Linked DNA regions of Daphnia pulex. The protein of the gene in region 1 binds, or shares a complex with, the protein of each later gene. Links are inferred from orthologs where the notes say so. Each region holds a gene or a part of one and is shown on either strand. Other genes may lie near its edges.

Evidence for each region.
Region 2: ubiquinone biosynthesis protein COQ4 homolog, mitochondrial-like (region 1) and 5-demethoxyubiquinone hydroxylase, mitochondrial-like share a complex: the UniProt entries of both Homo sapiens proteins name them as parts of the multi-subunit COQ enzyme complex. The link is inferred for Daphnia pulex from reciprocal best matches to the Homo sapiens genes COQ4 and COQ7.

What each region holds. Positions count from the first base shown.
Region 1 is NC_060018.1:4,001,943-4,018,465, reverse strand, and holds ubiquinone biosynthesis protein COQ4 homolog, mitochondrial-like, read left to right. Parts: upstream 1-5,546; 5' UTR 5,547-5,744; coding exon 5,745-5,841; intron 5,842-5,916; coding exon 5,917-6,051; intron 6,052-6,116; coding exon 6,117-6,213; intron 6,214-6,275; coding exon 6,276-6,378; intron 6,379-6,455; coding exon 6,456-6,585; intron 6,586-6,673; coding exon 6,674-6,767; intron 6,768-7,174; coding exon 7,175-7,331; 3' UTR 7,332-7,719; downstream 7,720-16,523. Other genes in the region: G-protein-signaling modulator 2-like, read right to left, coding at 1,514-1,705, 1,808-2,019, 2,155-2,308, 2,495-2,617, 2,860-3,063, 3,154-3,251, 3,388-3,554, 3,686-3,801 and 5 more. UniProt on the Homo sapiens protein: Lyase that catalyzes the C1-decarboxylation of 4-hydroxy-3-methoxy-5-(all-trans-decaprenyl)benzoic acid into 2-methoxy-6-(all-trans-decaprenyl)phenol during ubiquinone biosynthesis.
Region 2 is NC_060017.1:4,137,167-4,153,028, reverse strand, and holds 5-demethoxyubiquinone hydroxylase, mitochondrial-like, read right to left. Parts: upstream 5,939-15,862; 5' UTR 5,843-5,938; exon of another isoform or gene 5,668-5,842; intron 5,599-5,667; 5' UTR 5,598-5,598; coding exon 5,426-5,597; intron 5,368-5,425; coding exon 5,218-5,367; intron 5,157-5,217; coding exon 4,879-5,156; 3' UTR 4,784-4,878; downstream 1-4,783. Other genes in the region: elongation of very long chain fatty acids protein-like, read left to right, coding at 1,904-1,964, 2,475-2,665, 2,777-3,292, 3,418-3,732. UniProt on the Homo sapiens protein: Catalyzes the hydroxylation of the 5-methoxy-2-methyl-3-(all-trans-polyprenyl)benzoquinone at the C6 position and participates in the biosynthesis of ubiquinone.

The DNA.
Region 1 (16,523 bases):
GTTTTACAAGTGGGGGGGGGCACACGGAGGAGATGGAAAGAACGTTGGGGGAAGGATTGGTGCAGTCGCCACGGCAGTTTCATTTTATCGTGAAAACAGAAACTGTTGCACATACAAGACAAGAGCCGTTCAACCTAAAAAAGACTGGAGGAGTTTGTTCCGGGCAAGATGTGTAGCCTAAGAGAGGTGTGTATAAGAAAAGCAACGAGGCGGAGAGGGAGGTAAGACCTAAAATCGGCGCGATACACACACTGACATACACGTCCATTTAGGGAATATTATTATTATTATTTTTTTGTAACTTTTATCTTTATGTTCTTCTCGTAAAATGCCCACCTGGACCCAACAGTTGGAATCAAGACAATTGGGGCGAGAGAAATACAGAAGAGGAGGAAGAAAGAGAAGTTGGACTGAGAACGACGCAGCTGGTTTGGATTACACATGGCGGCACGTCTAAATGTTGTATCAACACAACAAAAAAGAAATGGGCAACAAGAATTCAAGTTGAACATTTCAATAAAGGAGGAGGGGTGGGCCTTGGAAGTTTGGGAGGGAACAGAATCGGTGCCGTGCAACAAGACAGACCCAAGAAAATAATAAAAGTTTGCGCACGCGTATGGAAGATGTTGAATATCAAACAGGATTCATTTTACTCGCGTGAAAAATAGAACAAAGTGCTCTCGTTCCAATCCCCTTTTGGCCCTCGCTTTTTATGTTGGGAGGAAACAAAAACACGACTCGTTTACCCCCCACCCCCATAGGCATCTGCATTTACATCTCTTTCACGTCAGTCCTCGACAAAAAAAGAAACATTTTCATTTCGCTACAATAATAAAACGAAAATATCCCGAAGGAAAGGAGCCCACCAAGCACCAAAGTGAAAAGATAACGAGAAATCGAATTTTGTTTTTTTCCCCTTCTTGCTCACACTGTCGCCAACTTAATCTCATCTCTAAAAACTTCCATGACAAACAATTTCGTTTTCACGACAACAATGATGACTTTCCACTGCAGATCCAAGAAAGAAAAAAAAAAGATGGGGACAAAAATAAATAAAACGAGGAATAGGCCTATTTATTGTCTTCTAACTGCCTTTCACGTTGGGAGTAGGAACAATGCTCTGCCAACGGAATAGAAAGAGAAGACAAGAACTGCCATGTTCGGAAAAAAAAAGGGACTCCTTTGAACTCGTGTGCAACCATGCGGGAACGGACAATCAACCCCCCCTTCCCCTTGTTTGTTCCCCAAAGGAGGAATGGTGAGATTTAATTTTCGCGATTTCTACTTCCAGGAGGAGGCAGAGAGCGAATGAAATGGATGTGAAGTTGGAAGAGTTTTTTTGGAAAAAAAAACTCGGTCAAAAGTAAAAGAAAAAGGGAATGGCTATTTTTTGAAACGAATAAAAATGGAGAGAGGGTATTGATAGAGACTGTCAACATACATTTCGATCATGGATGAGAGCTGATGGCGAGGAGGGGTAAAACATTCCGAGAGGTTAGGGATACCGTTCCGTCTAGGAGGAAGTGGCGGCAGCTCCGTTGGCAGCGATGAGAGGTGAAGGATCTTCGGCTCTTTGATCCTCGAGTCGACCCGATTGGAGTCGCATTATCAACGAGAAAAAGTCTTCGTCGGGCATGGTGGGCCCCCTGTGCCGCCGAGGCGATGTATCCGGCAAGGCGCTGCGCTGATCTTCCAGCCTCGTACCCTACACGATGAAAAAAATAAAAAGTAAAAAATCATTTTAAAAAGTCGTTCGTGAAAAAGAAACGAGTACAAATTCGGCCAAAAAGGTGGAAGAATATCTAACCTGACACCGCATCAACATTTCGAAGAAATTCTCATCGGGCAATGCGGCTGCATCCTCGCCGGCTGGCTCCACAGACAGCCGACGTAAAATGTCTGGATTGGCGTTGTTCAGGCCGGGTAGTCGCGGTAGTGAAGCTCTCTGCTCATCCATCCGGCGACTCTGCATGCCGGCGATCAGGTCCATTAAATCTTCCTTCAATCTCGACGGGCTCTCTATCGAAACAATATGCGAAAAAAGAGGAAAATAAAAACACACTCCCTCGTAGAAGCAGGCAAACGAAACAAAACTCGGGGCGACGCCAGGAGCGCGTATCCCCCCTCCCTGGTTTCCCTGGAAAAACAACTCACCGTGAATATTCGACGGGAGTGTACTTGCTTGTTGGTTCTCCTTGTTGTCTACGATTGCCAACGAGCAACGCTGATCGTCCATGCGTTTCGATTGGAATTGAGTGACCAAATTAAAAAAGGATTCCTCTTCATCCATGGCGTCGTCTCCGTTGGCCTATCGTATTGCAAAACGAAATGGATTCCGGTTAGCAACAGGGTAGTAACGGACAGAAATAGAGAGACAAAAACAACAAGCGAGACTATGAGATGTGACAGTTGTGATAGACTGGCAGCGAAAGAAGCAGACAGACGAACGAGCCATCCGATAGAGCCGGATCAAGAGAGGATTGTTGAAACTTACAAACGGGGGCAGCATATCACGTCTAACCAACGGGTGACCAGCGAGCGGTCTAGGCCACACAGGATCCATTTCATGCAGTTCCCGGCGTCCCTTGCTATGAAGTTGTTTCACATCCGGCGTCAGCTGGATTAATCACAGTGCAAGCAACCGAAATTGAAACGGACCAACGAAAACAATGATGACGGTAATAAAAATAATAATAAAATCGCCATGCTGCAGATTTTGCCAAGAGAAAAAATAGAAGTTTTGGAAGGTCTCCGGTAGATTTCCCACCTTCCCAAGTTTGAACGCGAGGGTGCGGTATGCGAGAAAATAGAAGCCAAGAATAATAACAAAGCGACAAAAGCGGACGAACACAAACAAACCTTGAGCAAATCCATGCGCTCCATGCTTAACCTGCGCCTTGCCTTGCTATCTGCTCCGTAGAGTCCGTCGTCGTCGGCCTCGGAAGCGTGACCTTTCGTTGAGTTTCCCATGCCGCCGCAACCACCGTCGCCGTCAACGCCCAATGTGCGTCTCAAGTCGGCCAAGTTCATCTGTGCTGTCGCCTCGCCGGTCGGATCGCCAATCTTAGAGATGGAGAAAAGAGGGTAACGGTCATTTTACGCCATAACCATTAGTCCATTAGTAGGTCGGTTGATTGGTTCGTGTTGGCTCACCTCGCGGGATATTTCAAGGTGCCGTTGTGCGTAGTGCAGGGCTTTCTCGTGATTTCCCATGGCAGCGTGTGCATTCCCCAAGCTCCAGCAAGCACGTCCTATTGGTGACGGTCACGAAACAAACCGGAACAATGTTAATGGCGATCACAGGGAAGAAAGATTTTCCAAATTTAAAAGAACAAACAAAAAACAACCCGAAAGAAAATGAGCACCGAGTTCTCAGCACCGACTAACCTTCTCCAACTTTATCCATTAGCTCTTCAGCAATACGCAAGTGCCGCAGATGGTAATCGATGGCTGTGGGATAATCGCGAAGCAGAGTATACGTATTTCCCAGGCTGTAACAGGCTTGCGCTTCGACGGCTCGATCTCCGAGATCCTGTGCAAGTAGGAGTGTTTTCCTGAGGGAGAGGGGGGTAAATTGAATTTGAATGGGATTTCTTTAAAGTTTAAAGACGCTCGACGATTCCGTCCTTTTCATACGCAAATTACGGAAACTTTCGATCAGTAAAAAGGAAGTCGCTGTATTTACTTGTAATGTTCTGCAGCCGTTTCGAACTCTCCGAGGAAGATGTGCGCATTTCCCAGGTTGCTGTGGGCTCTCCTTTCGGCTGCTTTGTCCCCAAATTCTCGAGCAATATTCAGTCGCTAGAAGCACAATTGAAAAAAGAAAGTGGGCGATGAAAGAAGATTTTTCGCTCACGTAAACCACGAATAATTTGTCCCGATTGTATCGATTTTAATCTCCCTAAGCCTTCCCTATTAAACCTTCGTTTTTTTTACAACCCATACACACGATATCATAAGATATACATTTTTTATAGCCAAAAACGCTCACCTCTTGATGATATTTTATGGCTTGCGTAAAGCTACCCAAGAGATAATGGGTATTGCCCAAGTTCCCGCATGCCCGACCTTGGGCAGCACGATCGGTTATTTCTCTCATGAGTTCAAGATTTTCTCTATTAAGACGAAAACCAAAAGATAATGTTAATCAGAACGGGTAAGTAAAATCCAATCTCAACTTCCTCTTGGAAAAAATAAAAACTCACTCGTAATAATTTACGGCTGTTAGCAGGCAGTTCCGCACGTCTTCGGGAAACTCGCCTGGATCTTGTTGACCCAGCCGGCCGAGATGTTTTCCTTTCGCATGAAAAACGTTCCCCAAGTTATACAACGCCCTTCCTTCTCCAACCTGGAAATGCGTGGGAGCCATGTTTACATTAGAGGCGACGAAAACGATATTAGGAGCTAAAAAAAACTGTACTTTATCGGTAAGCTCCCTGGAAATGTCGAGGTGTCTTTTGCAACAGAGAACAGCTTCATCGAATCTGCCCATTACTTTCAATGTGTTTCCAAGATTTCCACTGGCTTTGGCTTCACCTAGTCTGTCACCCATGGTTCTGTAAAATATGGCAGTTTAGAAAATAAAATTTAAATTTTTCCACAATTAGAACCAAACAAATATAGTGTGTGAACAATTACCTGGCTAGAGTAAGATCATGTTTGTGATACTGCATGGCTTTGGTGTATTCACCCAGGTAAAAATATGCATTTCCAAGTTGTGAGTAAATGGCGCTGAGGGTCCTCAAGTCATCGGTACCAGCTTGAATTGCTGCTTCGAAAAAGGCGACACCAGCTCTGTGAGAAAGCAAACACAAAGTTACTGACAAGTGTGTTTGATACTACGTATGAATCACAATAAGTTTTCCAACCGACAAGCTGATTTCCTCTAGGGCAAAACAACTTGGCACATGGAAAGTTTCTACCTGCAATCACCAGCTTTGCAAAGACGTTCTCCTTCTAACGCCAATTCAAGGCATGTGCTGTTATCCATGTCTGTCATTTTGTCAGGATGATTGTGTTTTGACTCAGCGAAGCTAAATGTTGACTAAGAAACACTAGTGTATAACTTTTCCCACTGTGTTGAGAAGTCGGTAAACCTAACGAATAACAAGACGAGCGTCTAGGAAAGCCTCGACTTCAGGAGACCAACTGAACGACTGAACTAAGGAACGTCCAGTTCAAATTCAAGAGACTCCCGACAGAGTATTGATTGTCGAGTTGCGCGCGGCTAGACTCACTGGTTGCGTTGCTTGCTCTTTTTCCACGAAGTAAAAATAAAAACATATGAATCAAATGCGTGTGACAGTAGGCTAGAATTCAAACCAGCATAGCATTACATCAGTCTTTAAAAAAACGTTGGCAAAACTTTTGAAAACTAAGACAGTACGTCTCGAATAAAACGAGACAATCGCAGAAACAAACCGCCCTTGTCTTTATTCCGCGCAACTTTTATTTCAATTCGACCAAACGACCGTTGGAGTGGATAGTTAGCATGTGGCGCCAAAAAACCAAGGCTAAAAGCCCCTGGCGGAAAAACAACTCACCACTAGATGGATCACGGACGAAAACGATTTTTGAAGCTATTTAGCAGACGAAGTCAAGTTGTTTCGTTAAAAGTGGTTTTACTTGTTTTCTTTTTTTTTTAAATTATTTCCGTGTTGTTATTCATGGATGATTACGTGAGAACCTACTTTCGGTGAAGGAAGAAATTGAACATTCACAGCTGCTGATTATTAAGGAACAAAATGTTTTTGAAGAGTTTGATTACTCGTCATAATCGAGTTGCTGTTCATGCTTTCATCGAGCGACAGTACACAACGACGACCCAAATTCCCTACATTTGTAAGTTAAAATTTGCCTTAACTCTCTTATGCACATAATTTAACTGGATGTTTGCCCTACATTGAATTTTCCAAGTGAAATGGATGAAGTCGGAAACAACAAAGAAAAGCGAACCTTTGTATGATGGGCACATTCCCATAAATTTGCTTCAAAGAGCTGTCCTTTCTGTGGGTTCTAGCATTGTGGCGCTGACAGATCCTGCAAGAGGAGGTGACGAGAGCTCAAAAAACTCAAAAGGCCTGAAAATAAGTTTCCTTTTGTTGATCCGAAATTAGACATGGTCGCTGTCAATGGTGAAAGTTCTGGCCACTCTGCTCTCAAAAAGATGCACAGAAAGATGCTGGAAAGTGAAGAAGGCCGACAAATTCTCATGTAAGCAATCTTTCCACAGTTAGTTATCAAGATTCTAATTTCTCATTATCATTGCCAACCAGGGGGAGGCCTAGAATAAACTCGAGCACAATAGACATTGAGAAGCTCAAATCTTACCCAGACGGAACTTTAGGAAGAGAATACACCAAGTTTCTCGAAGTCAATGTAAGTCACAAAGTTACAAAGCCGTCTCGCAATTCGTGAGCATAAATCTGACTAGATAAATGGGGCTGATTCAACAGAACGTCAGCCCGGATACGAGATTGCCTGTCCGCTTTGTTGACGACGCCGACTTGGCTTACGTGATGCAGCGCTACCGCGAAACCCACGACCTGGTCCACACTTTGCTGGGATGTCCCACCAACATGCTAGGTATAGTCGCATTCACGATTGACCGGCAAGTTTAGATTGCGCTGCCTTGGAAATGCTCCTGAAAAGCAAATTTCCTTTTTTTTAATAGGCGAAGTTGCAGTCAAGTGGGTTGAAGCCCTTCAGACGGAATTGCCCATGTGTATCGGTGGTGCTGTGTTTGGACCTATTCGCTTGAAACCAAAGTAAATAGACAATTCATTGCCTCCGTTTTTCCTTCACACTAGAACAACGAAAAAAGGACAACATTGGCAGCAAACGGTAGAACAAACAAAAGAGACTAACAAGTGGACAGATCGTTTCCAGCCAGTTAATTAAATCCAGCTGTGTGACAACAATAGGAAGCCCTTTTATAAATTTGAATTGAGTCAACTGATGTAATAAGAGCATCCTCTTTTTCGTTTTCCTTTTTTCGTTGGGTCTCCTCTCAATTTCTTTTCTCTGCGTCTCTCCCCCGTGTGCGGTTGTTGTCTCTCGTTCGGTCGAGTGTAGCACGCTGAGCCGCTTTTGTCTCCTCCCCAGGACTAATGAGCTTCTTCTTCTTTTTTGTTTTTCTTTGCCCGTCTTTTGTCAATTATTATGTTCGTGCAAGGAACCGGTCGACTTATCTGAGCAAGTACTTACCGTGGGCCATAGGCGTGGGCTCGAGGAGCAGCTTCTTAATGAACGTCTTCTACGAGCGACGCTGGGAACAAGATATCGCAGAATTGCGTGACGAATTGAAAATCGAAACTCCACCTGGGGTTTGATAGGTCCGCCGCCTTCCCATTGAGACCGACGTCTGCCGGATGCGGAGACACAACACTGAACCCCCCGCGAAGATGCGCCACCACCCTCACTCTCGCCAACAAATTTGGACCCTTTCAGTCTCTAATAATTGTTGTTTTCTTTTTCTTTCTTTCTTTCTTTCTTTCTTTCTTTCCCTCTTGTCGTTTTTATATATTTCCCTACTCTCTTGATTGGTACTTCTTCGTCCCATCCGAGTGTCTCTTCTCCCCTCCGCCAGCCGGGGGACCTGGCCTGATGGGCGCCCATCATTTTCATAGAGAAGAGAATAGAATTGGCCGACACAATGGACGGCTGATTGAATACATCCTCGCGCGTTGAAAGAATTGATGTCTGACGCGTGTGTTATTAAATAGATTTGTTTTTTATTTATTTATTTATTTATTGCAATGCATCCAGCCACAGCAACCGCACCCGGCAACTCGCGCTTAATTGAAATACCAAAGGGATCGACGGCCGGCCGGCCCTGCAAGTCATCATGGAACGAATTGCCATTGGAAAAAGTTGGGAACGGGAGCGCAACAGCCTAGAGAGAGAGCGGCGTCATTCACGCCGCCCGCTCTTTCGTCCCTGCATGCTGTACCAAGGACAAATGTGATCGACTACTCTACTAGCGACGAGCCTCAAACAGAAAATCAATAATATCTATCAAGTTGGTGACGACAGTCTTGCGAGTTCAACCTCTTTTTCTTCTTCCGATTTCTTTTTTTTTTCTTTTCGTGTCCCGCTCGGTGACGCGCCCCTTTTCTCTCGTTGACTTAAAGTTAATTCGCGTCAAATCAGATGAAAGTCTTGATGGCCCCGCCAACGCAACGGTCACTCAAGACCCCACGAGTGGCACTACTTGGTCAAGAAACTCAAGACGGACAAATTTTTTTCGGGAGAGCACGGATGTTTACTTCCTTCTTTTCGCCGGCCAAACCAACTGCAACCGGACGTACATTCTGGGTTTAACTCTATAACACAGTCAATTCGTTTACCTTGGATGAATTGTCGTTCCTCTTGAACGGATTCGGGCCAGAGCCGGCACCGACGACGTACATATATCCCGCGCCTTGTGTGTAGAAGAGGCAATGATTGTTCGTGCTGCTGGTCGCCCAACTTGCCCGGCTATACAAATTCACTTGACTGTACCGTACCAGCAAGATTCGTATTGAATATCACTCAGTGTGTGCCCAGTTTCGGGCCGTTCCGCTTCGTTATCGAATTGCCGGCCATGTGCAGTCAAGTGATGAGAGCTGCAGCACAACGGGCCTCCTCTCTAATTGAACCCGAAAAAATGGGGTCGAACGGGCCGATGAAAAATGTAATGGCGGATAAGATGAATCCCTATCCAACTTTTTTTTCTGGGTGGGGGGGGGGGGTGGCTCTGATCCTTATTGTCATCATTCAAAGCAGTGTCTCTTCTTCATTTTCGGCCGAGATTTCCAGTTTTTGAAGGAAGCCTAGCGCGCTATACACTGCCTTGATGCTCTCATTCAAAGTCAATCCGAATTGTTGCCTAATCTCGACTGCTGGGAATGGAATATTAATTAACGAAGTAAATCTTCTTTGTCCCTCGTCAACTACATTTTAGTGTGTACCGTTATAATGTCTTGGCATTGGGCTCTTGTCATCTTCTCGTGGAGACTACTGACAATGTCGGCATAAATATGCCATCGTCCGTATCGACTGGGTGTGTCCTCCGAGACTGTGCGGGTGAAACAAGTGAAGCTTCTACAACATAGAAATATCCATCCAGCAGCCTCACAATGACAAAAGCCTAGTACATCTTTTGTATGGTCGAGTCGCAGTTCAGAGAATGTATATAAAGGATGATTCCCCTTGACCCAGCGCACACTGGATTTCTCCACACTCGAAGGACAGCAGTTTCGTAAGAGAAAATGCTGGGCTCGCTCGTCATCGACAATGGCCCACCGCCCATCCTTCCACCGCATCTTTTTGGCCGGATGCCGACCGCTGGAGCGTTGCGCTGGAATCTCAAGGCGCACAAGATAACATGACTTCATTAACTGTCATCGATCCCACGCGGCTGCGGCTGCATGCGTCCGTCCCGTGTTGTCTATGATATGATGCCGATATGCAGCAGCAGCAGTAGCGCTGGTCTTCTTATTTATTATTTGACAAGAGGATATCGTAATGTTGAACCATTGCAGCTGCATCATACAGTTTCTCTTTTCTCTGCAGCTAGAAAGGAGAGCAACAGCGTCCTCCAGGGGAAAAGAGATGACTAACAGGATTGCATGAGAAGAACGAGCTGATGCAGCATAGTATAAACAACCCCGGCTGCTAGCTGCTAGCTGCTAGCTGCTAGCTGCTATAGCCTGGGTTTCCTGAAGAAGTAATGTGCCCGGCAGTTTTTGACGTCATCAGAGTCGTCGTTGAGAGACTGACCCCTTTGGAAAAGTCAACGACGTACACGTTGTACCGAGAAGAAGTCACGACTCGCAAATGTGCGCCACTCACGTTATTATTGCGACTTTCTCAGCGCGCGCGCGGGGGGCAAACTGATTTCGCCGTGATGGCGTTTCAATTCGACTCACGCTCCCAACTCGAAATAAATGACTCAGCTTGAACACACGAAGCCCTTCTTCTCTCGTCCCGCTTAACTTCATCAAGTGCCGTTTCGGCACAAAACAAAAAAGTGCCGTCTCTCTTTATCTCTCTCTCTTCTTTTCTATTTTCCATGGCTTCTTCTTTTTTCCCCATTTGGATTTTGCGGTCGTTGTCGTCGTCAGTTAAAATAAATTGAATCAAAAGAAAAAAAAATCAGAAGACAAATAAGTCGGAATGAACTGGCGTCAATTTCATTTTCTTTTAATTCTTATCAGCCCGAGTTCAATGTCGGACGGTGACACACGGACTGCTGAACGACGCTCGTCTCTAATCGACTCACAATTTCCGGTTGAGAGCCGACCGTTGACAGGCCCATCCAGCACTCCGCGCTTTCTTCTGCTGTGCGGGATTATATCTGACTGGCGTCGTGAGCGGAGAGAGAGAAAGAGAGAGAGCTATGGAGCACATTCTTTGTGAATGGCTGATGCGTGTGTGGCGTGTGGCGATTTCTTGTCTTTTGTCAGCACAAGTTGGTCGACGACGACGACACAACTTGGCATTATTCGTTTCTTCTTCTAGTCTACCGACTCCCGGTGTTGTATATGGCTGCTGGACAGCTCAGCTTTGTTTCTCATCATGCAACAGGAGATTAGGCAGCCGGGCGAGAACCTTCATTTCATCAAAAGTGTATATAGGGCCAAGCGGACCAAGCCTTTTTCTCTTTGAATGGGTTGGACCCCCTGACTGGCCCGCGGCAATCTCTTTGACACAAGAAACGGCCATGACAATACTACTCTCCAACAGAGTTGGGCTTCTATTATATCGCATCAAAACCCTTCACAATAATAAAAACTCCACCGAGAGATGATATTAGTAATAAGGCGACCGAGAAGCAGCACTTTCGTACGACATTTTGTAGATTTGACGTCCAGAATCCTCTTAGTAAATGAACTCCTTCCAAGGATCTTATATTTATTCAATCCCGTCATATTTCCCCGAATGGTGTAGAGACTATTATTAAATTTCCAGTAAATGGCCGAGTCAGAAGGAGATGATCACATAGTTCAACAGGGTCAACGGAAATGATTTACCGGACCAGACGAACTTGGATCTCGGCAAGTTCAAAAGCGGATTATGACAATTAGTAGTGCCCACAGAGCTCACAGACGTATAGAGGCATCAAACTTTCAAGGGCTCGACGCGGCTCGACGGCTAAAAAGCAGCAGCAGCAGTGGTTTATTAGCATATATCTATCGAGTGGGTAAAAGGAGTGTGACAAACAGGGTTTGTCCGCCCGCTCGGTCACCGATGAGCATTCGGCCGTCTCTTATATATTTCAATCCGAGTGTCACTTGCACACAACGCTCAGCCCAGCCCAGCCGCCGCTCCCGACTGAACATCTAGGCAAAGAGAAGAAGAAGAAATTGATGATGGCGTGACAAAACCTGATGCCAGGGAGTCACCGAGTCCACTATAGCTTCAAACAGCTTTTGACATTGACGGTCTTTACTTTTCATTTCTTTTTCTTTTCTTGGCTTCTGTGTGCTGGCCGTTTTGCCCGTGAGGAATAATCGGAACACACTCTGCAAGAGATGCCGCCCCCGGTTGATGGGTGATCATCCAATATTTGCCCAGGGTGTGGCAACTGTGATGTTGGCGAGAATGGCCTCTCCCGTTGATGTGTACACGGCGAAGCTAAACTAAGATACAGATGCATGTCTGGGCCGCGTCACATCCCGTCCATATTCTCTCGGATGGATTCGGGGTGGCGAGTCAAACCACCAAAATAAAAAAATATACAGGACGATTTGTAATCTCCGATGATGTTTCCACTTTCTTTTCTACCCTGGTTGTACACACAATACGTTTCTACTGTATAGCTCGCACACAATATGTACTCCTTTTCTACGCAGATGTAGTACTATCAAGAAAAAGATGTGGAAGTAGCTATAGTACACATAAGGATATGGGAAAAATCTTTGTACTACACATATAGATATGATATCCCTCGTCATTTTGTTTGCTATTTGTATGCCAGGCTGCACGCTCAATCCCGCGGAATGATATGAGAGCTATACGTCTAGTACTATACTCCATTTTTTGAAAGCTGCCGAATGAAAAACCTCTTATCGATTTCTCTAGAAATATTCGCGCTCTTATATTTCATCGAAAAATACCGTCGGGCGGAATGTACGTGGAGTAGTATACTCGGTGCGCTGCCACCCTCCGTTATATCATTCACAGCACCCAATATCTACAACACCGTCACTTTTATTTTGTATGCCATTAGAGAGTTAGTACGTATAGACACTTTGGCCGAGAAATATAAAGTGGAAGTCCCCTCCATCAAGCGATTATATGCAAGAATATATCACCTCTCTTTGAAATCCACTTCTGGCTCTCTCTCTCTCTTGACAGTGCATTGCCACATTTGTAAACGCTCAGTGAGAGGAGGAGCTATATAGACTATCTACACACACACGTGTAGTATAGGACGGCGATCAGGGGCTTTCTCGACGTTTTCATATACAGCTTTTATTACCATTTTGTCATTTGAATGTTAGTCTATAATGCCGGCTTATGTATACAGTCCCGCTCGTTTCTCTCTTCGTCTCTCGTCTCTCTTGTGTTGTGTATGTGCGCATCTGCGCACGCCGTGTCCCCCCCTCTGTGAAATTCATTGTGGTCGATATTCCCGACCCGAGAAAAAAAAATTCATAATATGCTAAACTCCTTGTGAATATGCGGCGGCTAAAACTCCGCTATACGTTTTGATGATTTGCCACATTGACGTCAACATTTCCCTTTTTTTTTATTTTTTAAAAAAAGGCGCCCTGCTGTGTAATATAGCGGCAAAGATAAATCCCGGGTGTATAATACATATTAATAACGAATGCCTTTGCTGCTGCTCTATAATAGGATATGATGTGAGAAATATATCCATCCCCAATAATAATCTGAAAGAATGTGATGGGGTATTTTCAAGCGGTTATTATTACAGCATACCGTATGCCGAGTAGTAGTATAGATCTCTATTCTATATATAAGACGCAAACAAAAGTAGAATTCTAATCACAAATCTAATGAAGAATTGATAGATTTATTCGGACTAACTAACTTTGTGGTGTATATACTATATAGTCGTGATAAGAAAAGTTGTCTGCGATTTCATGATGTTGACCGTTCCAGAATAGAACGCGCAGCACAGCAGTTCAATACATCACTGCTGGCTGCTGCTGTTGCGGGAAACTCGATCTCTCCTCCCGGCCGTCATCAATTTGATCCACATCGCCCCCGAAGCTATCATAGGCTATATGTATATAGAGCCCATACAAAAAAGGGGATTCAATTGTTGTACAACCATCGGCCGACTGATATGTGCCAAAGGAAAAAAGAAAGATGGAGCATATACACAATAGACCACCCCAGAAAGAAAAAAAGGAGTAGTACAGTAATACATCATCATTTCTTCTTATTATTATTATATGATTCCACAACCAGCAACTTTATAGTCGTGTTTTCTCCCCATCTCGAGAATTCGCCGGGACTGTCTTGACTATGTAACCACCTCCTCTTCTTCCGTTTACTCAGACATACATCAAACTGTCACGTATGGCTTACCCACAGCACACACACAAGAATAAAGGGAAATGGGTGGCACACGTAATATGTCCATATAGGCCTATATCTTTGTCGGCACGATATTACATTCCCCCCCGGCCATAGCACCGAGAGCAGAAATAATAATAATAAAAAGTCCAAACTCGTGCTGCTGCTGCTGCTCTCCTTTACGTCATATACATTTTTTGAATCGCATTTTACGTAATGGGCTGTTATTTTCGGGGCCACATATAAGAAAGTGCTGCACTGGACATGTACTGTGGCGTCTATTATAGTTTATCAAATCCAAACTATTAAAAAAAAAAAAGATAAGCGTCGGGAAAATGAGAAATACACACAAACACGAAAAAAAGGAAGAAGAATAAGAGGCTTTATACACGGAAAGATGAGACGATCCAGCTGGTGGTGCTGTGCTGAGGATTGGCGACTGCTGGAAGAAGAAGAAAAAACCCCTTCAATAGACGACGACGTAGGATATAAGAAGACTGCCGAATGAAAGGGGATACTCTGTGAAAGGAAAATGATGGGGCTGAACAGCCACCAAACAGCATGTATAAGAAACTCGCCGGCAAAAACCTTATTGATACGCCAACGTTCGGGAAAAAAAGGGGAAAAAGGAAAAAAAAAACCTTTGCGCTTTGAACGGGGAGAGCCTCGAATGTCAACATCAGAGTTATAGACCAGCCAACGCAGCAGCAGTGTCATTATTTTAGGATCTTTCTTGTACAAATAAAAAGAGCGAAATCGCTTTTTCTTGTGTATATGTATTATATATATGAAGAAAATGTGACGTTATTTTTTTCCTTTTCATGTCTATTCGGCTCTGTTATATATTCTTATTGGTTGGCTGGCTGGCGCTAGCCAGAGTCTCTGTGTATTGGCTGCTGCTGAGACTCTTATATATATTATAAGACAGTATTTCAGGTAACCAGCCAAAGGATTTGGCAGTATCCTCTTTTTGTAATTAGTGCGCATCACGTGTAAGTCTCGAATTAGGAGCTAGCAGAAAAAGGACGGCCACTTCTAGGAGAACTTTCTCTAACCCCCCCCGGCCCCCCGTCGTCGTCGTCCAATTCCGCCGTCTGCAAAATCAATTATCGAACGAGAGCTCCTGATGCGCTGCTGCCACCACTCTCTCCGCTCTTGTATGTTATCTAAATGGCGTGGATAAAGCGTCTATAACAAGACCAGCAACAGACTGAAGAAGAAGGGGAAAAAGGAGCTGTATGTACACGCCCTGTGACGACAATTTTCTGCACGACAGGAGCAGTACGTCATCACCCACTTTTCGTCACCCCCGCCAATGATCGAGTGTTTGAGAATGTGTTGAATCAATTCGTGGAATCAGAGCGGGAAAGCAAAAGATTTTCAAAACATGTAAATAGATCACTCTGCACAGCAGGATTTGAGTAAGTGTGTGTGATTAGCGCAGTGAATATATAAGGTCTAATAGAAAAAGGAAAACAAATGCGCAGTAGATATAAGAAATTTTCAATTAGACTAGAAAGTAAAGTTTCATTTTCATCGAGTCCCGAAAAAACTTACACGTCCGTGAATTCATAATCAAAAAGTTTGACGGGTAATACTACATGTACACGTATAAACACATCGTCCATTATTCTTTCGCCTGTTTAATCTAGCCAAAGTGTAATCTACACACCTTTTTCGCGCTCCCTATATATACGTTGTAGTCTAATATACATGTATCGTGAAATATACACAAATTCACGCCCGGTATATTATAATTCATCGAGCTGTTACGAGGAAATTCGATCGCGCACGGCGGGAGAAAAAGGGATTTCACATCCGGCGGGTGACGGATTGCCAACCAAAAATGGCGGGACCCAAAAGAGCGTCAAATATTTTCCCGCCGAACGGCCATAGCGCAGAGAGTACAGCGTACTGTGTGACCCACAAAATCTATACGAGTGCGCATATATATAGATATATTCACAGATTGAAATTCACTACGTAATACAGTGTTGTGTAGTAGGTGCACTTTGGCATCGAACTTGGCTCTGCTGCAGGGCAAATTCCCGTCGTGTGTTCTTTTCACGTCAAGAAATCGATCCATATATCCTAATATTGGACTGGCTGGCTGCTTGCTCTATACATCAGTCTCGTTTTACATCTCAAGAAAATCGAGTGTTCTATACTCCTCCTATATGTATATTGTATAATAGTTTCACATAGATTCTCTCTGCCGTTTTATAGGGAAATGGCGGATCCGGTTCTTTTTTTCTTCTTACAGCCGTTGCTGCTGCTGCTGTCTGTGCGCATGTGTGTAAACCTATTATATAGATACAGTGAGCGCGTGATGTTCGACAGCCAAAGTCTCCAGATCAAACGTTTTCACAAGTTTTGTTTCTTCCCCCTTTTTTTACTTTTTTTTTTTTTTTATTCTTCAAATAAGTTGAAGAGCTCCCGACAAAGTCAAGGATCACGTTTGAAGTCCGGTTGTCCCTTTTGGCTTTCCTTCCAGCAGCCAGCCAGCAGGAAACTATTTCCTCTTTTATCCTCATTTATTTCCACCAACTAATTCCTATCTCTGCCTATTTCTTTTTTAAGTCGGATCGAAACTATATACGTAAAAATAGAATCGCTGAATACGGCGTATATATTTCCCTACATCATATTATAAGACCAAATATACGAATCGAGATTCCCAATTGATGTGTGTGATGTTGCCACCGTCGAAACTTACCATCTACCGTATATAACATCAATTCCCTAGACGGCTGGGTTATAGTTGGAACGATTGCCCTTCTCTCTCAACTTGGCGGGCTAGGAATTCAAATTACGACAGCTCAGGATTAAATGGAATGCAATAGTTGCACTCGTTAAGTCGGATATGTATATATACCCTGCACCGCGCTCTCTGGCTCGCCCAATATCACTGCACCCGACCAACAGCACACATAACAATCTTTGTTTTTCCCTGGCAACACTAAAAACACAGACGCCTCTGTGTGTGTGTG
Region 2 (15,862 bases), on another chromosome or scaffold:
TTTAAAATAAATAGAAAAGTAACAACAATAATAAAAAAAAAGAAATCGCGCTTTCGTTTCTCCGACTTCTATTTTGCGACTATAAAAACGCTTATAAAAAACATGCTACAATCATCGCAATAAAGGTTGCGATATTCCTTAAACACACGAATAGTTTGAGATTATTAGCTCAAAATTTTGAGATCGAAAAATGAGTTCCCTGCTTTCATTCTGCTATCCCCCAAAGTGATTTATCAAATATTAAGTAGGCTCGAACCGTACAGAAAATAATGTCTTCTCTTAAAATAGGCCGCAACATCCTAAAACACAATATATGTGTCAGCCTTAGCTTGACCGACTTATTTCCTACCATTGGGCAACCAATGATTTAGCTGATCTGTCAAAAAAATTCTTTCTCCAACTTAACTTGATCGTTTTTTTTTTCTTGCCACCGACTCTGCGGCGACACCATTCACCCTAGCCTATTAGATATGCAATACAATCAGCTAGTTGTGATTTTGTTTGAATCGGCTGAAAATATTTCGAAGATGCACCTGGCAAAGAGAGAATTTCACACTCTGCCACAGACATGGCTTTGCTATGTAGGTCGAGGAGGAATTCTAGCTGGTCGAGGAAGAGCAACAGTGCGGCACGAGTAAATAGAATTAAGTAGGTCATAGCACTTTAATAGAAAGAGTCGCAGCAACTTAACGTGAAGACGGGACGAATGAAACGCTGGATCATCAAGGTGTACAAGTTAATCTTAGTTGCTTAGTTCGGTTCTCTTGACTTATTTTGAGTTGAAGCTGACTTGACAATTGAAGCTACCTCAGCAGACAATTTTGAACACACTTCCTATACAGTTATATCAATATTATTTTTTTGACTAACATTCTTGTAACGAAATGACACACTATTAGCGTGCATGCCTAAATTTCATAGCGTGAACAGATACACACGCTTGTGTGATCCGTTCACACGTAAATATTAGTAAGAATTTGTTTCGACAGAAATGCAGAAATTTTTCTTTTTCATTGATAAAACATTGTTTTTGTCAAATTAAATTAAGCGATAGTTCTGGCGAAAAATAAGCCTTATTCTATTAACATTTAATAACACTTCCTATGCAAATTTCTAGCAAAATCAAAGAAACTGCTTACGGTATTATATTCTTCTATTTTCTTCATTTCAGTGAAAATTTTTGTTCTTATGAAACACACCCTTGGACGACAACGTTATTAAAAATAGGCAGAACAGCTAATTAACAAATTAAACTTTTCTTTTTTTCTTCCCCCTTTTATTCTTTTTTAAATGGCAAGCGATCGCAAGCGATACAATGAGCCTGTGCCGAAAACGAATTAACTTGGTTCCTAAAAGAAGAATTGATCTTTAGTTGGTAAGAAATCAAAATAAAGAAAGTCTTGACTTTTTCTTCGTAAAAATACGCGATCTGCACTGAAATACAATTTAGCCTGTGGGGCCGGTCCCCGTGTGTCGGGCTGCCGGCACGGTATAGAGCCAAACATAAAGTAGGAAGGGCGAGTAGCGAGGAATAGCTTTAGGCATTAAATGCTAGACGGTGGCCTATATATAAAGAAAGGATTCGTATCACCTGTGTTTCAGTCGGTAGCAAGGATCACACTCTGTTTGAGGGCTTCAGAGTGTGCGCGTGTGAATCTTCCAGTTTTTGTTTTCTAATCATCCAACGTAAAAAATTCTGGTTTCTGAACTTGTTTGCCGTATAATTCGTCGCCCTGAGTGATCTAGAGGTAACAAGAAAAAGTGAAGTCTAACCTTTTTATGAGGACAGCCAGTCCGAGCAAGTTTTTGACATGAAATGATTGTGTAACTTTATGTACCTATGTTGAGTTGGAATTATTATTTTCGAAATTTTTCTAGTTGATTGCTAACTGATCAAAAAAGAATGAGTGCCTTTCTGAAGAATGTCGTCGACGGCTACAATGATTTGATGATCAACAAACGAGGTAAGGAATCATCCGTTAGTTTATCAGCTGATACTCCCCGCTTGCGACATCATTGTTTAGTTGTTAGGGGCCGATAAGTGTAGAAATACTTTTTAGCGCATGTACGAAAATAGAATGTTGCATTATTTTATCCTCCTCATCGTGTCTCGAAGAATTTGCGGAATGGAAACCCCTATACCGTAATGGTGAACAGTTGTGATACTCCTAGTCCATTGACCTCATTCGTCGATGACGGTCTGTGGTTAAGTCTCTCAGAGTATAGTGACCCCATTCGTATGACCGCTACTTTAACGGAACACGGCCAAATCTCTTCGAAGAGAAAACGTTGGTAAAGAATCCGTCTATCTTTCACGTGAGAATTCTTCAGTTGGCTTTCCCCAGAATTCTGTACTGCTTATGTTTAATGACCAGTGGCTAATTCATGCATTTTCTAGAAAAGTGAACACCAGTCGATGCATTTATTAGAAGAAAACATTAACTAAAATTACCGTAATTTCCTTTTTCTTCAAGATCCTAGGGTCGACGGATGGTTCTTAATGAGTTCACCTGTCCCAACCCTGATCATCTGCTCTTGCTACATCTATTTCGTCAAATCCTTGGGACCGAGGCTAATGCGCGATCGGAAACCCTTCGAGCTCCGTTCCGCCATCATCATTTATAATGTCATTCAAGTTCTCGCCAGTATTTACTTGGTGTACAAGGTATGAAAATCTTTATAACCTTTGACCATTTCCTTACTGGGCGACAATTTCATTTGATTTTACTTCCTTTTTTTCTCTTTTTCTGTCATTTCGACTCTTCCGCTAATTCAGGGTCTGGTTCACGCCTGGCTGTTCCGCTACAGCCTCCGCTGCCAACCGGTCGACTATTCCGACGACCCCGACGAGTTGATTGTTGCCCAAATGTGTTGGTGGTATTACTTTTGCAAATTCACCGAGTTTCTGGATACGGTTTTCTTCGTCCTGCGGAAAAAGTTTGATCAAATCACCAACCTCCACGTCATTCACCATAGCATCATGCCGGCAGCCGTTTGGTGGGGTGTCAAGTTCACCCCCGGTGGCCACGCCACATTCTTTGGAATGCTGAACACTTTCGTTCACATTATCATGTACACTTACTACCTATTAGCCGCAATGGGACCAAAGTATCAGAAATATTTGTGGTGGAAGAAGCATCTGACCACGATGCAAATGGTTCAGTTCATCACGGTCTTTTTTCACACGGCTCAACTTTTCTTCATTGAGTGCAACTTCCCCAAGATTCTTGCATATATCATGTGCTTTAACTCAATCATGTTTTTAAGCCTTTTTTCGAACTTCTACATCCAGGTACTGTCAAATGAAAACTTAAGCTTTTTAAAATTATCTGCAGCACGGCAGAAATTCATGTTTCTACTCAAAGAAATCTTTAGAATTGAATGCTAATGTGATAACGATTGTTTTCTATTGCACAGGCTTACATCAAACGCCGCAGGCTGCCAGCTATTAAAAAGGACGATGACCATGATGACACCGCAAAGAACGGAGTGAACCTTCGCAACGGGAAATCTAATGACAAAATCGCCAACGGAAAAGGCAACGCCAAAGCTGAAAAGGAAAGCCGTGGCGTCGGAAAGATGATCACCAACATCATGTCCAACGCATCCGCCGCATGCTACATTGGTCAAAATGGTCTTTACCAATCCAACGGCAAAGCGAAAGGAGCTGAATCTTGCAAAAGTAAAGGGTATTCCAATGGCCATTCTATAGCCGAGAAGAAAAAATTTTAAGTTCTGCAGCTCAGTTCCAACTTGCCAAATCGAAATTGTCAAGTAACACCTCCTCTAACGTTTGCTTCGTTGTTTTCAAATTCTTACTCTTTTATATATTGATCTTATGGGCCATTTTTGGTTATCAGATATTAAATGCTCTTGCATTTTGTTACAACATTAAGGAAACAAAAAAAAGGCAAAAACACACGCTAAAAGTTTTGGAAACGGAAGTGTATATATGCCGAAGAACAGTTTTATTCAATGCATACGTGGTTAAAATGTTGTTGACGTCGGCTCAATACAAGGAGATTTGATATTCCAAGTTATATTTCTATTTTTCCATAACTGATGCCGAGCTACCGGAATCACCATATGTTCAATATTATTATACCCTATGCTGAATCATCGCGTAACGGAACATGAGCGACGAAGACACGGAACCGTCCAGAATGAAAGCCGCACAAAAGGGGGTCAGTATGATTCTAGGTCACCAATACACTTTCTGGTGGGTTTTCGAATTCTTTTGTTCGGAAAATACGTTCCCTAGCACTCAAGTGTCATCACTGCAAATACCGTGGAGGTGTATAGAAAGTATATGGAGTCGCAAGAGCTATTTTCTCTTTAATTTCGAGAAAACGTTTCCGACACGGGGAGTTTTTCATGTTGCTTGTATCATTCTTTTGGGGAAATCCAAGAAACATAATAGAAAATCCAAACATTTTCCCCGTTAGAATTTTCGGCTACTTGACGGTTGACACAGTCGGGTTGTAAACATATTTCATCATTTAGTTTTCCCTCCCGGAGAAAAGATGACGAATCGCGTGAAGATTGAAGTATTGTAGCCTAAGCAGTTATTCATAGTTCAGTCATTTAGTTTCAGTTATTTCCTTTGTATGAGACAGACAATAGTTAGTGTTTTGTTCTCCATGTACGTACATGTCCTCTACCAAGAGACTCTCGGTGGCCTCGTTACTAGATTTTTAAGATATTTAATTTTAATTTTTAAACAAAACGAAACAAAACCCAAAAATGGCGTCGCTGTACAACAAAACGGTTAGCCAGTCTATTATTACGTAATCAAACTAAATGTATTACGTATATCACATGGACATCGTATTTTAACGTCGCGACAGACTATACATCAGGGAATACAAGTAGCCTACGTTAGATTCTTTCTGATATCCAGATGGCTCCTTTGCAACCAATTTTCACGGCTTGGGCGAACACCTGATATAGGGGAGCCTCTTCGGCCTTGTGCAGGATGGCCGTGTCATGATGCTCCATTTCTTCGTCGCGGAATTTGCTTATGACTTTCAGTAATTCACCGTTTTCTTCTGGGTTGGTCATGAGCTCGCGAATTTGGTCATTATAGTGGTCGGTAATGACCGTCTCCACAGCTGCTGTGCATGCCATGGCCATTTTCGGCCCCAACAAGGCAGAACCTGACGACAAAACGGGTTTGAGTTGCTGAAATAACAATTAGCTATAAAACAAGACAAGTACCAGCTCCTAAAGCAAAACCTGCCACATTCCAAATGGGTAACATCACAGTAGGTCTGGCACGGTACTTTGGAAGAAGTTCATCAAACTTTTTCCTGTGTTCCTTCTCCTGATCCCACATGTGCTGGATCACACTTCCTACATTGGATTTCCCTATACAAAAAAAAATCATTCATCCTTCTTATATTCATATATCCATTAGGGCAAATACCAAGAACAGCCATTTGGCCAGCGTAAATTCGATCGGCACCAACTTCACCAGCATGGTCAACTCGTAAAAATCTGTCTCGTGTAATATTTTCCCTTGCTTCCTTAGGTGATATTTTGGTTGATGTAGCAAATTGGCGGAACAGCTGAGGGATCTTCTGTGGTCTATAAGTCATTCTAGTATTTCAAATTTAAAAAATAGATCTAGAACATTTTTTGCATTTTACATTTCGTGTTTAAGTTTACCAAATTTTGCCGGAATTACATCATAACAAGGGGTTAGAAACATATTAATAACTAATGCCTTAAATGATCCCCTTTGGCCCGTTCGGTAGAGAATAGCGAAAAAACATTAAAACACCAACAGCGACTTCAAGTACAGGTAAAATAGGTTGTGAAAGTAAAGCACACAGCTACTCACATTCCAGATGGTTATGCAAGAACGAAAACACAGATTTTGTCAACAAACTGAGCTCACAGCTGTCAGCTATCGACTGCTTGCTATGCTTGAGGGCGGAACGATCGCCGTGTTTATAGCTTGTCGGATGTTTTTTTTTAAACAATATTTAATAACAGAATCAATCGATGGAGCTTTACAATCCAATTTTAAGTATCCATAGCACTCTTATGGTAAAATTAGTGATTTATAAGATTTTTGCGTTCCAATTAAGGGGGAAGGGAGAGGTACAGGTCGTTAGCTATCTCCACCTAGCGCTGAATACTTTAAGCAGTTATCCTGGCGGGGATTGTCAACATCATTCCAAATCCTAAGCAGTCTTTTGTTTTGTTTACCGTTATATTCGTTAATCCTGTTCAACTGTTCCTATCCTGTAAAATCAGTAAAACATTTCGTCCACTTTATTTTATTTTCGCTTACTTTTTCTATCCGCTCTGTAGCCGCTTCTTTTCTACAGTCGACGTAGTCAGGGCTCGAGCTCGAGGCGTCGAACTAGTTAAAGGGCAACACTGCTTCCCACTTTCCCAGTTCTCACGGAACTTTGTCTGCAATTCTGTTTTTCAGTTAGTTTTTGGATGAAGGTTTTTGTGAATGCGTCTTTGTTAATTGTTACTTTGTTAGGCTTCCGCGTTTAAGGCGTTACAGGCCGGATATAGAATCCATACGATCTGTGTGGTAACTAACAGCACAGATGGTGAGGCTACCATCCCATCTCATCACTGTGCAAATAAGTTTAAGCATGGTGTAAGTGGTTTCAATCATCAATCTTTCAGTGATTTCACGCAAAAGTTTGCTTTTGTTTCTTGATCTGCGTTGCATTAGCTTTTTTGTAACCTATTTTAAATCAGTCAATTCAAAGAAAAATTGGAACAGCCCATGTGCCCAGATCACATTGGTTCAGGAAGTCGTAGATTGTTTCGCCTGCGTTGGATTTTTAAATCTCCTCTAAGAATAATTAGTGCTAGAGCAAGATTTTGTTGTGTGTGGTTATTATTAGGTCAAAATCATCCCACCACTTACTGCAATGCAACAGCAGCGATTCTTGGCTTTTCATGCTCAGTGTGACTGTTGGTGGTGATGTAGAACAAGAACTTAATGAACTGAACTCAAAAGTTTAGTGACAGCAACACCTATCTATGTGAACTGCCAGATGCAATGTTTGCCTATTGTAAGAAGAATTCAAATCTGCAGTCTATATGGGGATTGGCGTGGACTACATTCCCATTTCCCACATCAGGCAACAAAATGCCAAAGAAAAGCCAGTGAGAATAACGTCAGTGTTGGTGTAAAAAAGTGCGAAATAGACGAAAAAAACCCAGTTTTTTCTTGCGTTTTTAAGGTTTTTAATGGAGAAGATAGTTAAGACTGATAACTTTCAATCCTTTCATTCAACATCTTCTACAGCCAATCTCTTTCAACATGAACATCAAGATTATTGAGTAAGGCTTTAGCAACTTTTGCTGTTTGTTTCTTTGTTTTGTTTTGTTTTTCATTTTGTTTTTCATTTGAAAAGGCTAATAATTTGTTATATTTAGGTAACAACAATTGCTATCTTGAACTCAACAAAGAAGTTGCTAGAGAGGAATTTCAAACCATAGTCAAAGTTGAAAAAGAAGAAGTTGACTGCTCAACGCAATAAAAAAAAGAATGACAAAATCGAAGGTGTGATCGCCATCATATTTGAGAAAATGGTACGTAAACTGATCAACAATTTATCTAAGCTGATCATGATTTTTCAATGAATAAAGGTATTTTCCTGGTGACCAACTGAACAGTTCCTCAAGTTGCGAGTCTTGCGCTAGATGTTTGATGTCGCTGCCACGCTTCGTCGAACTGGATTGTTGGGATCGTCCAATTCTTTTAATCTACCACGAATTACTCAGTATGACTTACGTCGACGATCAGTTAAATTTTCGTTGGGAAGACGATAAACAATACGCTTTATCTTACCTGGTCATTTTGTCCATTGAAAACCACTGTTCACTCTGCAAATGGAAATCGTTGATATTTTAAGATGTGTTTGGCGCCAACGTTCTAATAATTGTTATAATAATTCCACAAGTAAGTTTCAAAAAATTTCGACAACCCTTTTTCTTATCTTCCGTCGCTCATGGGGAAAAAAATTGGTTTCACCCAATCGTAGGACAGATAGAAGCGGTCGCGTTCTTTGCAAAGTTTTAAAATCCGGTGCATTTTTTGCGATAATCATAGACCATTTACTATCCTTTTTAGGTTGGAAGGTTCCTACGCAACGGTCGAAATTCTTGTGAAATGTCCTCTTCCTACGAGACCAAAACCGAAAAGCTAATTACTCTACTAGAGTCCCACTTCTTTCTTTCGTATCCTCAGGTATTTTTAAGAATCAATCAACTTTTTTCATTCAACTTCATTCAAAATGTTTAGTCATCAGATTTGAGATGTGGACAGTGGACCCTATTTGAAGAACAAATTGCTCAACACTCCTGTCACTCACATCCTCAGCTTTATCTGTGTCATCCTCCCACATCTTTGACAAAAATTCCAACTTTTTTGCCCAAAAGTTGTGGGTCAGGCCTATTGGCCCATGAGGTCAGGGGGCCAGATCTCTAAGCTCTGTGAGAAATCATAACAAACGTGTTGTGTTGGGTTTTACAAGAGCTCCTAGTCAATCCGGTTGAACAAATTTAGTTTCACCCGGAAACTTCTTTTGGTTTTTCCATGAAATTTATGGTAACAAATGCTACCTATCAAAAATTAAATTTTAATTCCTCATTTTTATGCTATCCTGAAAATGGATAGATTTGGAACTCGATGAAGTGCTGTCGAGTTTGGACCTTGGATCGTTCTTTCGGCTGAAGAAGATCTCGATTTTCTCGGACGGCCCGGCACAATAGCTCGCGTATCTCGTCCAGAAGCAACTCGCCTATTCACTCCCGCCATTTGGTGATCCAGCGAGGAAACCTTCACTCAGCCGAATTTTCCAATGTCGCACCAATGGAGATCGTGTGCACCATTCGACATCGGAATCCACTGCTCCCAAGTCAATCTACTGGACAGTGTTCTGGTAATCGGCAAAGCATTCATTTCTCCAATTGAGTGATTATTTGAAATTGTCGCGAATTTATTTGTTATTTTTGGTTCATTTTCTACTCTTCGTATTATTAGGGAGCGCCTATAAGCCGCATAATTCACATTTCCGACTTAAGCGTCAGACAGTTGGCGTATTGGCCCAACCGAAGCCAATGTAGCCAACGGCATGAGCGCAAGTAACAATGGTTCCATGGCCGCTGTAGAAAGTCTGGTGCTTCCACGGCCAGTTTTAGTGTTGGTAAAGGTACGCTACCGAATTGCATTGTTTTTATTTATGTTATATATCTCCCCCTTTTGTTAAATCTTCGTCGTAATTATTAAAACATTTCATCCAGGATTTTCCATCTCTCATACCGTCGGTATATTACAGAAGTAGTCAACGGTCGAGTACAACATTGTACAATAGAATACCGTTCGGTACAAACTGCTGCCAGTCAAGCAGGGGGAGACACTGTTGTCTGTTAAAGTGAGTTTTTAAATTGAACCTGAAGAAAAGAAGAATGCAGGTCATCTATCATCTGTATCCTACATTTACGATATTCTGCTTAGTTGATTTAATTCTATGTAGTTTTAATAATTCCTCAATTTCTAAGAAACTGTTCTTCTATTAGCAGTTGTAAACTAAGTGAATTTAGACTGAGACAAATTCAAAATATCCAACTAAAATTCCCTGCATAGACGTGGTGTATGTTTTATTCTAAAGTTTATACTAATTCCTTTTATTTCTCCTTCAGGTCTGATCTGAACTATGGAAAATATTCTGTCCAGGGAATGACGCCTTAAAAGAAAGAACTGCGGTTGCGATCTTCAACAATCTTGCGTGAGTCATTTTTTTTCTGCTTGTTATTATTTGTGTTTCTAATTTTAGTAATTTTAGTAAGTCTCGATTAGCTAGAGCAGGGATCCTTTTCATTTTACTGTTTTAAATTTTAAACATTTCTTGTTTACAACGCTAGATGGCATTACGATTGCTTAGATTGTTTTCAGCGTTCTAAAAACATTAGTTTCACTGTTTCAGTAACTTTTACTATACACAATTATTTTTTGTTTGCAAAACTGAAAAAAAAATCATCGATGAATTCTTCGTCAACGTCAATTTTGTTATGTCAAAAAACAGTGCAGGAAGAATTCATCCCGTTAACGCTATTTCGTGTGCCCTGACACCCAGGATACGAATTACTTATAATCTAAAATTGAGCGAAGATGGTGGACGAGAGTAGCAACCCAGAAGCTGCTCACCTCTAGAAGGCGTTGAGCGAAGATGAAATCAAAGTAAATTGCAGTTGGTTCCGTGTCCTCCACTGCAAAATCAGTCGCTCTGCTCAGAGCCTGATTGAAGTGATTGACGAACGATTGACGTTTGGTAAATTGGTCCACCCATATGGCAATCATGAAATTGTGAAGTTCCCTTGATGGATTTAGCCGTAATAATTTTTTTTAAATTGTTATTGTTGTGGCTGAGAGCCTGAGACACTGAAGATGACATCTGGTGGCCAGGTTTGTCTTCAGTTGTTGGGCGTAGGCTAGCCCTTTAGCCCCTACCTTCTTGGTTCTTTGTTAAGTTCAGGGTTTCTGAGAGAAAGAGTCGCCATTTTTAATTGTTTGGGGTTTTGATGTTAGCTTATTAATTAGCTTGATTGCTACTTGTTAGGCATTTTTTAGAATTTGTGATGGGTTGTAGTTGGTTCGGTTTGGCGCTTCGTGAGCTTGCTATTATTCTTGGTATAATTGATTCGATTAAATTCTATTCATGTGCAATGAAAGTGGCCTGAAAGTGTTTAATTTCATTTTTTATTTGTAGACGAATTTTGATGCTGAAAGACTTGGAAACCATGCTGTCCACCACGTCGAGAAACTGAGTAACATTCTGTGTGTTCAATGGTAAAATTAACAATTAAACTGATTGATATACATTTGAATCATAACAGTTGTAATGTTTGATTGCAGGCTCCTCTTAATAAAAGGAACTGGAGCCATCCAATCTAGGGCTTCCACCCAATCATAGGCTGCATGGAAGTCACATTTACCTTTGCTTTGACGAACATCCTGAACACATACACCATTTGAAGGTGACAATCTTATTATCCAGTTTAGATTTTACAATTAAAATATGATTAAGCTTTGCATTCATTGGTTAGTTTTAACATTTAGGGATTTCGTCAAGTCAACAGCTATTTCCTTCAGTCATGTGTTCTGTTATGGATTTTTTAAAGGGGAGTTTGTTGTAAGCAAGAAAGGCAGATACTGAAAGAGGTTTTGTTTATTTGTTTCACTTTAGAGTATTCTTTAAAGTTTAAATTAATTTTGTATTTAAATCTTACATGAGTCATCTAGTTTCATGTAAATTTGAGTTTCAACGATAGGTGTAAGTTAATATTGCCATATAATATTTGGGTTGAATATTTGAAGTGATACAATGTAGCATATTTTTTTTTTAATTTCAAAGCATTTCCAATGATGCTGAAGATTTATTTTACTTTGGTTATAGGTTCATGTTTACATAGCAGTGGTGTTGCTGTCCAATGTGGCGTGCAGCCTATGGTGGTGAAAGATATCTGCATCAAGTTGCTGTTTCTTGTGCATCCAAGGTGCTGGTTTTGTGCTACAGAAGTTACATCCAGTATTGTGTTTTATTGCTAATTGTTTCTTTGCAGTTTACCTTTTATATATTGAGAAGGAACAAAAAAAAATAATACGGGGAGGTTTATGTCAAACAAATAATAAACATGTCCGCGATTGGGGAATGAGGAGGAAGTTGGGGTGGGATATTTGATTATCATTTACTAAAAGAAGTTGGGTATATTTTATTATTTTTTTAATGAATATGCAGGTGATAAAATCTGTTGTTAACCCATATAACCTTCTCCACTTACACATCCATTCCTCAAACCCCGACATCAAATCCCACATCCATTCCTCAAACCCCGACATCAAATCCCACATCCATTCCTCAACCCCTACAATCTCCAACATTCAATTGCCACGATTTTTTTATAGCTATAATCATATTCATATATAAATAAATAAAATGTCATTGGATATAACTTGTATCAACTATATTTATTCTGGAACACGAACAAAATAAACAATTCATTAAACAGAGCGTCCGGTTCAAGACAGTTTTTTTTGTGCGAGGCTTTTTAGCAAGCAATCTGCCACCCAATTTGACAAAAAGTGGTAGTTTGTTTTCAAGGAAATTGCGTCAGACGGTTAAAAAATTTCTAGTTCAATAATCTCATGTAGAAATTTGCATCTAGTCTACTGGTGCAAATTGTGATTCTTTAAGCTTGATTAATTTAGGTGATGTGTTAAAAGCAATTGTGGGTAGCTAAAAAATTGATCTAACTTTTTCTGAATATTTTTGTTTTAGATCACTTTGTTGTTTTTAGATTTTCTTGAGATCTATCTTCAAAATATTCTGAAAAAGCGAATTAGTTTAATTTTTAAGCTACCCAGTACCCACAATTGCTTTTAACACATCACATAAATTAATAAAGCTTAAAGAATCGCAAAGTGCACCAGTAGACTAGATGCAAATTTCTACATGAGATTGTTGAACTAGAAATTTTTTAACCGCCTGACGCAATTTCCATGAAAACAAACTATCACTTTTTTGTCAAATTGGGTGGCGGATTGCTTGCTAAAACTCGCACATGCAGTGTCGGCGTAGATCCAGGGAGATTACCTGGAAATGGAAGAGGAGAGAAGAATGCGAGGCAAGTTTTACTGGGGAGCGATTAGTCACTACTAGGCTTCCGGGTTAGACTCATGACCCTCTAAAAGTTTTCGTCGGATCATGCGCCTTCCAAGTCCCCGTTCGACCAGAGCCCTCCCCTCCTCCTGGTTTCACAGCGGGTGAGTGACCACCGGCGGGCGTTGGTTAGTGGTTAGTTAGGGAAACGGGGCCACAGAAAAGAAGGGAGCCCAGATATGCACTTTTAATTTATCTACATCAACATAATTTTCTTGAATTTCAGCGTTTTCTCGTCAGTTTCACCATCCCAATGGGTCAGTCTATGGAATGGCGGCAACAGATTCACCTAAAAGGAGAAAGTAGGATTTGATCAATAACAAGAACAAGCATGATGCTATTATGAGGCGTAGAGAAACAAGTCAACAAAAAATAATGGAGAGCACTTCGAAAATATTGAATCAAATCAGCAAATCAAGAATATGCACTAATTGTTGTCTTATGCCATATCCTGTAGTTCAGTAAAAATTCAGGAAATTAATTCAGGATTAATTCAGGAAAAAGCCGAATTTCACATTCGACTGTTAGTTCTTTTGGGCGTCTAATAAGTACTTAATGAAGTACTAACTCCTTTAAAATCCGAAGTAGGCAAGCAAATTACCAAAGTCTAACAAGTGAGCTTTGTGGCTTACGGTCAGTTATCACACAAAATTATCTAACGTTAACTGCCGATAAATGTCTTTAGAATTGCGTAAAGTAAAAGTAACTGAAACAGTGAAACTGTTTTTTTTTCTGACTGATGAAAAACGATCTAAGCCATCGTCTAGCCTTGTAAACAAGAGATGTTTAAAATTTTAAACAGCAAAATGAAAAGGATCCCTGCTCTAGCTAAATCGAGACTTATACTAAAATAAGAAAAAATCATACCAAACAAAAACAGGTAATAATAAACCTACTCACGCAATACTGCTACATTAGCACAGCCACAGTTCTTTCTTTTTAAGGTGTTATACTTATTCTCTGTAATTCCAAAATTCTGATCATGATCAAAAGAATAAGTAAAAGGAATTATATAAACTTTACTGTAGGGCCTACAACTTACAGTAAAACTTACACAACGAATATGAAGAGATTTCCAGTTGGAAATTTTGCATTTGTTTCAATCATAATTCTCTTTCTTTGCAATTGAAGAACAGCCTGGATCATGCTATTTTCCATTCACAAGGATCTCACTGCTGTTTAAAAATATCAGACATCAAAAGAATTGATAAGTGTGAGATTGCAAGTCAAGGTAATAAAAAATACAAACTGTTAGATCAACTAAGCAGAATACCTATAATGTTGGTTTCACACTTAATCTGCTTTACCACATTTTGCTACTTAACCAACTGTTTGAAATGTTTAATAGTTCACTTGATACTCATCGAAACGTGAAAGACAGTAACCATGCAGTAACTAACCGTGCACTAATCATATCGCAGTCATTGTTGTTATTAAACTGCAGTGGCACCTGGTGGGGGATTTCATCTAGAATAAATCCTAGAAACAGGATGCATCTAGAATTTGAAAAAAATAAGTTGATGGTATGGCTATAAACATAAAAAAACTGGGTCGAGATAAACCTACATGACATGCAAAGCTCAATTTCATACTTGAAATCACGAAATAAAGGCAACCAGTAAAAGGAAGTCCATCATAGAATGTACACCTAGGAAAAAATCAGTTTGTAAATTCGTAGAAAAATCTAAAGATGCAACATGCAAAAGTCACTTATGAAGTCTAACTTCCCCGTGCGGTCGCAATCGAGCGGACTAAGTTCAATAAACAAATGAATGAATTGTAAAATGTATGGTTAAAATCAACGAAAATCGATGAATGAAAATAAACTATATAAATTATTTATAGTTATTTCTTCGTACGTGTTTCATTACCTTTAACAGAATCATCAATATTAATAGCAAAATTTATGTAGAATTGTTTATTAAACTGACCGCCCGGTTCAATACACAGCCAATCAAAGCGGGGGGAGACACTGCAGTGATTGACTGAACCAGGGAGATTACCCGGCCATGGTTAAGAGACACCGGAAAAATAGCGAAGAGAGCCGAGGAACAGCTTTTAAGAGAGCAATGCATCATAGTAGACTTCCGGCTTAGGCTCATGAGCCTCCAACAGATTTCATCGAATCATGCACCTTGCAAGTCCCCGTTCGACCAAACATCTCCCTTCCTCCTGGTTGTCGCAGCGAGTGAGTGACCACCGGCGGGCGTTGGTTAGTGGTTATTTAGGGAAACGGGGCCACTGAAGAAGGGAGCCCAGATATGCACTTGTAATTTATAAACATAATTTATTGTTCAATCTTGAATTTCAGCAACGTCATCTGAGTTTCACTAGTCGATCAAGTCTAAGTTACGGCGGCTAATGAATCAACTGAAATGAAAACGGAGATATTAACTTACAGTGAATAATTAAATGAGGCTGTACATCAAGCATTACCTCAACGGCGGTAGGTAGCAACTAGCAAGAGACGACATATCGACAAAATGCTGCCGATAAAATAAGCCCGACAGCCATCAGGCAAAATCGACTATTTTGAACAACAGTTCAACACTGCATATACTGCATGGACACCAACATAGGCAAATGACACATTAAAGTATGATGTTCAACTGCAAGTCTGCACAAGTTCCATTTCAGCGCATCTCCGAACTGGAAAATGACAGCAACACCATAAACAGCTCAAACATAAAACTGACCATGGAAACCTACAAAGCATGAGAATATAATTGAGCCAATAAAAATTTGAAATGTAAAAAAGATACCAATATGATTTACTTGAAATGTACACTAAACTAGAGAAAAAGAAATCAAGAAGATGATAAAAAAATCAACAAAACTTCATTTCACCTTTTTAAAAAGCAAAGGAAATTCTTTTATGTTTTAGCAACAAAAGTTTACAACTCTTTACAAGTACTTTCCATAAAAGCACTTATTTAGGAGCACAAAATAAGATGTAAATTGTCTATGACATCAAGAACTAAATGCTAACCTACTTTGCCAACTGGTGGACACAATTTTACACGACTACTACAAGTGACAGATTTCTTACCATAAACGAACAACTGAACGGTCCATAGTTAAATGAATGAACGAACGACACCAGCACCACAGTCTGCACGCAACAGCTCACCACACAGTTCACTAGCTGGCTGCACAAAATTCAT